2 linked regions of the Callithrix jacchus genome follow. Each later gene encodes a partner of the first gene's protein in a complex. Links are inferred from orthologs where the notes say so. Each region holds a gene or a part of one and is shown on either strand. Other genes may lie near its edges.

What was found. Proteins that work in one complex are often made in the same cells at the same time.
Region 2: the proteins of ARRB1 (region 1) and GRM3 are in contact, whole or in part, in a cryo-EM structure (PDB 9II2), measured with the Homo sapiens proteins. The link is inferred for Callithrix jacchus from reciprocal best matches to the Homo sapiens genes ARRB1 and GRM3. Residues at the interface, in NP_004032.2 of Homo sapiens: Gly5, Thr6, Arg7, Val8, Phe9, Lys10, Lys11, Ala12, Ser13, Pro14, Tyr21, Arg25, Arg65, Glu66, Asp67, Leu71, Gly72, Leu73, Thr74, Phe75, Arg76, Lys77, Arg103, Leu104, Lys107, Pro133, Arg236, Phe244, Asn245, Thr246; in NP_000831.2 of Homo sapiens: Pro605, Lys608, Ala609, Ile669, Phe670, Asp671, Gly672, Val673, Lys674, Asn675, Ala677, Gln678, Arg679, Lys681, Phe682, Ser684, Cys761, Pro762, Glu763, Phe765, Val834, Val835, Thr836, His837, Gln855, Ser856, Ser857, Ala858, Ser859, Thr860.

What each region holds. Positions count from the first base shown.
Region 1 is NC_133511.1:65,597,424-65,601,726, forward strand, and holds the start of ARRB1 (beta-arrestin-1), read left to right. Parts: upstream 1-1,503; 5' UTR 1,504-1,616; coding exon 1,617-1,636; intron 1,637-4,303. UniProt on the Homo sapiens protein: Functions in regulating agonist-mediated G-protein coupled receptor (GPCR) signaling by mediating both receptor desensitization and resensitization processes.
Region 2 is NC_133512.1:63,164,237-63,168,337, reverse strand, and holds the start of GRM3 (metabotropic glutamate receptor 3), read left to right. Parts: upstream 1-1,297; 5' UTR 1,298-1,358; coding exon of another isoform or gene 1,359-1,442; intron 1,443-4,101. UniProt on the Homo sapiens protein: G-protein coupled receptor for glutamate. Ligand binding causes a conformation change that triggers signaling via guanine nucleotide-binding proteins (G proteins) and modulates the activity of down-stream effectors.

The DNA of each region.
Region 1 (4,303 bases):
TCCTCTTCTTTCCCTGTCGGGGTGACGGTGAAGCCCAGAGGCCAAGACTGGGAGGAGGGTTCATCCATATTCTCTAGCTCTTAACACTGCCCAGAGGTGGGCCACCCTGCCTACCCATCAGCCTCCCCCTGCCCCTCTGCCAAATCTGGACGTAATTATAGTAATTATGCTGCATATAAACAGTATAGGTAACTGCTTCTGGACATAATTACAGGAGATGTTTGCATACCGACAACAGCATCAGAGTAAATGATAGCTTCCTTTTCCCTTAATACTCAGATATCAGGGACCTATTAGGGCTAATTAGCCAAATCTCAGTAGTGAGGGTGTAGGAAAAACCTTACAATTTCCCACTACCTGCAAAGCAGGAAGGCACCTCAGACAAAGCAGGGTCCCAGCCAAGATTTCACAGGACATCAAGAAGCCTGCAGAGGAGTGAGCTAACATCTGCTGGGCACCTACTGTATGCAGGTACTCAGGGGAGGTCAGCAAACACAAGCGAGTTCTTTCAACCTATGAACAATTCTGCAGGCTGATATTAGTGTATCCTCACTTTACAGGTCTGGACATGGGTTCTCAGAAGCTTGGTGTACAGGGTCACCCGCAGCAGGCCACGGCGCTGGGCATGGACGCTTTCCACCGTGCTACCCAGCGGGAGCAGCAGGCCAGCTCTGCTTTCTTCCTTTCTCGCCTCTTCTCACTTCTCGAAGCTTCCTCTTTCCGGGTGGCCTCCTGCAGCCCCTGCTAACCTCTGGTCTCTGCTCAATTCCCCAGCGTCAAGGCCGTCTACTGCCCCCTCCACCCCTTCTTCCTGTCCCCTAGGGTGGTTCGGTGTTACCTCTCCAGATGAAGGGGGTGGGGTTGGGTGAGGTGGGATGGGATAGGGAAGGGTGGAGCACAGGGCAAAGGCCTTGCCAGACATCCTGGGGTCTTCTGCTAAGCTAGGGGAGGCAGGGAGCTCGGCCTCGGGGTCGCCAAACCCTCGGGTTCCAATCACCCGCACACACAAAGGCTGCCCCGGCATGCGCGGGAGAGCGCGCTCGCACCCACGGCCGTGCGCACACACGCACAATTGCACAAAGACGTGCACACTCCTCCATCCACACCAATACACTCCCTAACAGGGCTCGCACACAGCCGTGAGCCATCACGTACACCAAACCACCACCACACACACACACACACACGCACACACACACACAGGCTCACACACACACGCGCGCGCGCGCACACACACACACACACACACAGGCTCACACACGGACGCACACCCGGGGGGACACCCCCAAACGCGAACCTTGGGGCCCTGACGCGTCCAGCCGCACTGCCCTGGCTCGCTGGGCGGTGCGCGCACACGCAGACTCGCACACACAGACACACACGCACACACCCCGCGTGGTTCCACGCCCCTGGCAGCGGCCCGGGCTCTGCGCGGCTCCGCGCGGCAGGCGGCGGGCGGGGACCGGGGGCGGGAACGGCGGCAGCGGCGGCGGCCGGGAGAACGGAGGAGGCGGAGCAGGGAGCCGGGAGCGGGCTGGCCCGCGCTCCTCCTGCTGGCCGGGGATTTTCCAGCCTGGGCGCTGACGCCACGGACCTCTCTGCGACCGTCGCGGACCATGGGCGACAAAGGGACACGGTGAGTGCAGGGTGGCCGCCGGGCGCGGGGCGCGTGGGGGCGACCTCGGCGAGGGCATGGGCGGGGGCTCCGATTGCGTCCTGGTTCTACGTTCAGGGCCACCCTGGGATCACGTACCGGTTCTCCTCCACCCGAGGTCTCCTGTGTGGTCTCCGGCAGGGCCGTGGGCGGTGGAGACTAAAGGGCAAGGGCTGGGCCGCCCCATGTGGGCCGCGGCTCCTGGCCCGGACACACTCGCAGCTCGCTGACACCCAGCACTGGCCAGCAGGCGCAGAGACGCACGGAGGCAGACTGACACACAATACACGCACGGACCCACTAACCCGTGGCACATGCATGCTGGTGCACACACTGGCAGCCGCTGGCACACGCTCATCACGCAGTGGCACACCGTCACACACGCCTCAGTCAACACTTTCTTGCTGACAGCCTTGTTGGCATGCACAGGTCACACTCCAACACACACCAGTTCTAACACACCCTAGTGCTGGTATACACGTGTGGGCATACACTGATATGCACACTGTCACCTGCACTCGCTGTAGCAAACACCCTTGCTGGCACACATATCACTCTCACTGGCACACACACTTGTGCTGCTGGCAGGTCTCACCACAGCGGAGCGCAAAGCCACACCAACACTGACCCCCACAGACACAATCAGACTGATGCCTGCAAAGACTGGCACCCTACAGGCACAAGCTGCCAGCTCCGAGGCCCGCTGACACACATGCTCCAGGCCCCACATGGCCAGAAGTGGAAATACACACATCACACAGGGTAGAGCACTCCCCACCACCCCCAGCCTTGGGAAAACAGATCCCATCCCATCCAGATCCCATCCATACCCTCTGCTCCCTTTTCTCTGACCTCCTGAGGAGTGGCTGGCCAGGAGCTCTTTTGAACCTAGGGCTGGGAGAGCCCCTCTGTTCTCCTGAAACCTGGCCTGAAAGACTCAGAAAGAGGCAGTCTATGCCTCTGAAAGGGGAAACTGGGATAAAAGGGGAAGAGGCTAGAGCAGGGCAGCCCCTGGGGGCAGCCCTTCAGATAGGACCAGCACTCCTCAGGGGCTCAGCATTGTCACCCAGTTTTCCCCGTTGCCCTCCCTATCCACTAAGTCTGCACATAGCCTCTCCCTGGGGTCCCCGTCTTACCCCCTTTCCATCCCTCTTTCTCATTGTTTTCTGTCTTCCTCCCCTCCTATCCTTGTGTCCACCTTCTCCCTCCTCCCTTCCCTCCCCTCTCCTTGTTTCCATTTATTTATTGAGCTCTTGCTGTATACTAGGCATATTGTGGGGGATCAAAGATGTGCAAGGCCCCTTCCTCCCCTGAAGGAACTAACAAACTAGAGAGACCACCCCAGAGGGCACCACCTTTCAGGGCCACTGCCATCTAAGGCTCTCTCTCAACAGCATGAGAAAGGGCTTCCAGAGATTATTTCCATTTTCTAGAGGAAGAAACTAAGTCTCCGAAGCAACTCAAGCTCTTAATGTTTAGAAACTACTTTCCAACCATCCTCCTGACAGCTCTTCCAGGAGGTTAATTTTCCTTTTCCTGTTTTCTAGCAGAGGAACCAGAGGGTTAGAGTTGTCATGTGATTTGCTTAAGGTCAAGATGGGTTAGAGGCAGGGCAGAGGCTGGAGTCCACTTGGTCATGTCTCTGTGGATGGCCCTAGGGCACTGCCAGGCCCCTCATGTGCCAGGGAGGGGTGCTCTGCTCTGTGCTGGAGGCCCAGGCCTTTGAGGGAGACTGCAGAAGATCATGGTGTCTCTGAATGCACCTCGATGGCTAGTCCCCATTGCAGCTGGCTGGCCAGCACTGTTACCTAGGCCTCTGTCCGCAGGAGGAAGATGTGTGACTCCCTCCCCAGCCGCATCCATCTGCCCCGAAATTAAGACTCTCTTGACCCATGAGGTCGGGCTTTTCTTCCTGCAGGGCATGGCAGGGAGTCTGAGCCATTCTCCCCTCCCGTGTCCTTCCTGGGCTGCCTTGTGATCAGGGTGACTCAGCCTCTCTTGGGTCTCTCTGTATCTCCCTGTGACTTGGGGGGATAAGTGTCATTGCTGTCCTGCTGACATGGATTGTCAGAAAGATGAGGACACCATGGGCTTCCAGGCACCTGCTGGAGACCCTGTCTCCGAGGCCAGGGTATTTTCCATGACTCCCCCTGCCCTGTCTTGAACCCACTGGTGGACCTTTGGGACATTGGGCAATTGCCTTTGCCTTTCCAGACCTTAGTTTCCCATTTGTAAGTTGAAGCTATATCAATACTTCCATTTTAGGGCTCCCCTTGTATACTTACTGACTTTGCTGGGCAGGGATAGAGGCACTGCCTGAAGCCTAGAGCCAAGGCCTGGCTAAACCCACCTGATGGTGGCCCTGACCTCCCCCTCAGACTCTCCTGCAGTCCTATGAGGACTTTCTTTCCCTTTTCAGACAGTTTGCCAAGTAATTTGGAAGAGAAGGGCAAAATCAGGAATGGGCTGTACCCTGTTTTTTTTTTTGTAAGCCATGAGATTCTACTTTATCTATGACTAAGAAAAGGAATCTGCAGATATCTAAAACTGAACATCAGGAACTATCGAATCCATCCCTCCATCTGGAATTGCACCCCCATATGAAAGTGATAATGAAAATTTTCATTTAGTTATTTATTTTTTTTAAAG
Region 2 (4,101 bases), on another chromosome or scaffold:
TATTTTACCTTTAGGATTTTATCTGTAGTGTGCAGCCTATTAAAGCTATTTCCGTGTGCCTTTTTCTCTTTTGTGCCTACGTCATCGATTTCCTATTTATTTATTTAATTTTAAGAAGAAAGAAGAGGTTCTGTAGGAAACATTGACTGTATCTGACAACCATAATAGGACTAGAGAAGGACTAATGAGGAGGTGGGGGGGTTAGCTTTAAGAAGGCGAGGTGGTAGCATAGAAGGATAAAAAGAAAGATAATTGAGCACTCCGCTATAATCTTATTCCACCCAAGAAATTTGGGAGAATGCGAAAAAGCAGCAGCCCAGCATTCCTGGATGGGCGTGGCTTCTCTCCAGGGGCTGTCCAATCGAATTCCTTCAGAGGGACAAGATTGATACGGGTTGCTAGGAAACAGGAGCGTCTCCCTCCTGCCTGACCCAGAGATTGTTCTGCACAAACCCTCTCCAGCGGCTCGCAGAGTGCAGTAGAGTTGCGAGTAGGGCTGAGCTGCGCACCGGCTTCCCTGGCTCTCACGCTCCCTCTCTGCTCCTGCTCTCCGGGTCTCCTCCCGCCTGTGGTCAGCCCCCTGCGCAGGGACCACAGGAGAGTTCCCCGGACAGTTAGTCCCTCCTCACCCGAAAGCCAAGAGCTCTAGCAGGGCTTCAAAGTTGGAGCCGCCACCCTCCCTACCGCCCCATGCCCCTTCACCCCACTCCGAAATTCGCTGGCCTTTGCATGCACTGCCTAAGGATTTCAGAGTGAGGCAAAGGAGTCAGCAAAGCCACCCCGCCTTTGCGTATAATAATCCTCTCGTCTAGGTACCCTGGTTCACTGAAGACTCTGCAGATACACCCCTATAAAAGGAGAGAGGGTGGGGGAGGGGGACAGGGAAAAGAAGAACGTGACAGGGAAGAAAGAATGAAAAGGAGAGGATGCCAGGAGGTCCGTGCTTCTGCCCAGACTCCCAATTAGAGGCAATGGTTTCAGCTTGGTCAAGGTGAAGGAAAGTTGCTTCCACGCCTAGGAAGTGGGTTTGCCTGATAAGAGGAGGAGGAGGGGACTCGGCTGGGAAGTGCTCCCCTCCCCTCCACGGAAGACCACTGGGTCCCCCCTTTCCCCAACCTCCTCCCTCTCTTCTACTCCACCCTCCGTTTTCCCACTCCCCACTGACTCGGAGGCCTGGATGCTCTGCCACCGGGCAGTGGTCCAGCGTGCCGCCAGGAGGGGGCGGGGGCAGGGGGCACTGTGACAGGAAGCTGCGCGCACAAGTTGGCCATTTCGAGGGCAAAATAAGTTCTCCCTTGGATTTGGAAAGGACAAAGCCAGCAAGCTACCTCTTTTGTGTCGGATGAGGAGGACCCACCATGAGCCAGAGCCCGGGTACAGGCTCACCGCCGTCGCTGCCACCACGGTCAGCTCCAGTTCCTACCAGGAGTTGTCGGTGCGAGGTAAGGGGGGCCCAGAGGAGGACGCGTCCCTCTGGAGGGCGCCCAGCCTGGGCGCAGAAGCTCGGGTGCGCGTGGGGCAGGCGCAGCCAGGAAAGTTGAGGCAGAGCGTGGACCAGTCCCCACAGTACTGCCTGGAGTGGGACGGGTGGAGGGCAGAGGCGATGTGGGTGTGCGTGAGTGAGAGTTTGTGTGTGTGCGCCCACGTCTGTGTCTGGGAGGAGGGAGATTTCAGGGCACAGATCTACAGCCAGGGTGCGAGAGGTGGAGGGACCAACTAGCCCTCACAGACCATCAAAGAGACCAGTCTCAGCAGCCAACTACCTCCATCTCAGCTCTGGGCTCAGATTTTGTTTCTATTTGGGGGCTCCCTAAGGTTTTGTGCACAGGAATCCGCGCGATGACTGGCTGACATACTGGCGGTTTCTTGTGGGTGTGGAGGTTGCCGGCAGAGGTGGGCAACGGTCAGCGGGACCTGGTCCACACAGTCTGGATAAGCTCTGAAGCCGGAGGCGGCCAGAGGTTTGCCCTCCCGCAAGCACGCTTGGAAAGGAACCTTAACTAGCTGCCCTTTACTCCTTTTGGCTTGAGTGAAAAATCGAAAAGCCAGACAGGGAGCATATCTTTTCATCGACCCTGTTCCATTTTCTTATCTGACAGTGAGATAACTCGGAGAGGGCGGGAGATTTGCGATCCAAAAATAGACTAGGTGATATATCCAATAAGCTTGTTTCTTAAGAATTTCATTAAATTTTCTTCTAGTTATTCCTGGGGTCAACAAAGGTGGACGATTCTCTAAGGTATAACACTTTTAGGTAAATATATTAAGGCAGCATCTCCCACTTTATTTTAGATATTGTAAATTCTGCAAATAAAGCTGTACACCTCTAAAGATCGGGGTGGTTAAGGGCTCAACTAATTTGCTTATAAATATTTCTACTATTACTTGAATAGTAGTAGATATGTTTGGGGTCTATATGTAGATACATATTGGAATATTCAAAGTTGAGGTTAATGTGAGTTGACATAGATGTGAGCTAAGTATGAACAATAGTTCCTTAGAGTTTCTTTGCTTGAATTTCTTAGAACTGTTCAACAGAGCTACAGTATGTTTCTTTGTGATGGGTGGAGGGGAGTTTGTGGGGGTGAAGTCTACTTTGGTTTATCTGATCACACATTTTAAGATTCCTCTCTGAGCTCTAATTGTTTGGAGGAGCATATTTAATATAGGCTAAAATGATCTAGATTGGCATTATGCTAAACTACCAATAACAGTTCCTACCAAAGATGTTTAGGACACTCCAATGAATAATTATGATTTTATATTCCTATTTACCTTGTTCCTAAAAGCAGCCCAATAGAATATGAATATATTTGGAAGTTATTGTACACCAGAAATGACTGTAATATTTTTCCTTTCATAATGGGTAGTGATTTATATCTACAAAGATTTCTCACACCTGTCCATCCTATTGGATTCTGATCACCAAGCAGGAACATATAGATACTTTGAATAAACATGCTGAAAGGTTATCTTATGTTCAGAGTAACGCAGGAGCTCATGATGGAAAATGAGGAACAGAAGTCTTGAAACCTACAATTTCAGAAATAAAACAGTGAAATTCCAGAATACTTACCTTTATTAGCTGAAGAAGAATATGGCAACTATATCTCTTAGCATTGAAACCCCTCCTGCCCCTAGATACTATATATCTAGATATAAAACTGTAGTTTTATGAGTTAGGCCATTACCAATGAAGTGTGAAACCTAAATCATAGAAAATTATGCTGGCACAATGAATAGGCCACACTTCAGAGCTTGAAGGAAATGAGCACCTTTCTATTTATTTAAATTGAATGGTATTTTTCAAACTTCAGAAATATATGATTAGTAATGAGAAAATGTGTGAAAAACCACACACAAAAAAAATATTATAAATGCTTAAAATATACTCTGTGACCCACTCTATTTGGTATAATGGGCTTTTAAAAAAATTGTGGTATACATATGAAAACAAGTGAGTATAAATCAGATGATTTATCCCACAATTACACATATCAAATGATGAGCTTATCTTTGATTTTATGTCACTTCAATTAAAATTGGTAAGTTCAACAAACATAAATCTAACAAAAAAGTGATCATTATCTTTAAGTGGAAATTAATATTTGTATTGAAGAAAATAACTGGGATAATTGTCAAAAGGTCACCTGCTTCACTTCTCTACTTTATGACAGGTAATAGCTGGAATAACATAATTGAAGAGATGGGTCTTATTTTGAAAGATTCTCAGCAATAACATTTTACAACTTCCCTGGGTACATCATCCTCATTTTTATTTCGTGTCAAACTATCTTTTTTTCCAAATAAAACTGTTGTCTCTCTTGTCCATTCTTTTAATAGTGATCAGTCACAAAACGAAGCATAATCTTTTTCCAGGATACTAGCTACCTCCTGCCAAAATGTAGCACATTGGCTTAGGGATGAATTTTCCACTTGTTTTCCAGCACTAAACATCATCCCAACATTTCACTAAACAAAAGAAATGAAAATTAATACCTAATCACTATCATGAAACAAGGAGGGCAGGATTCATTTACGCACATTGGAATGTGGCCAAAGTTCCAGCGTGAGATTTGTTTCTCCAGGAGTAATTCTCAA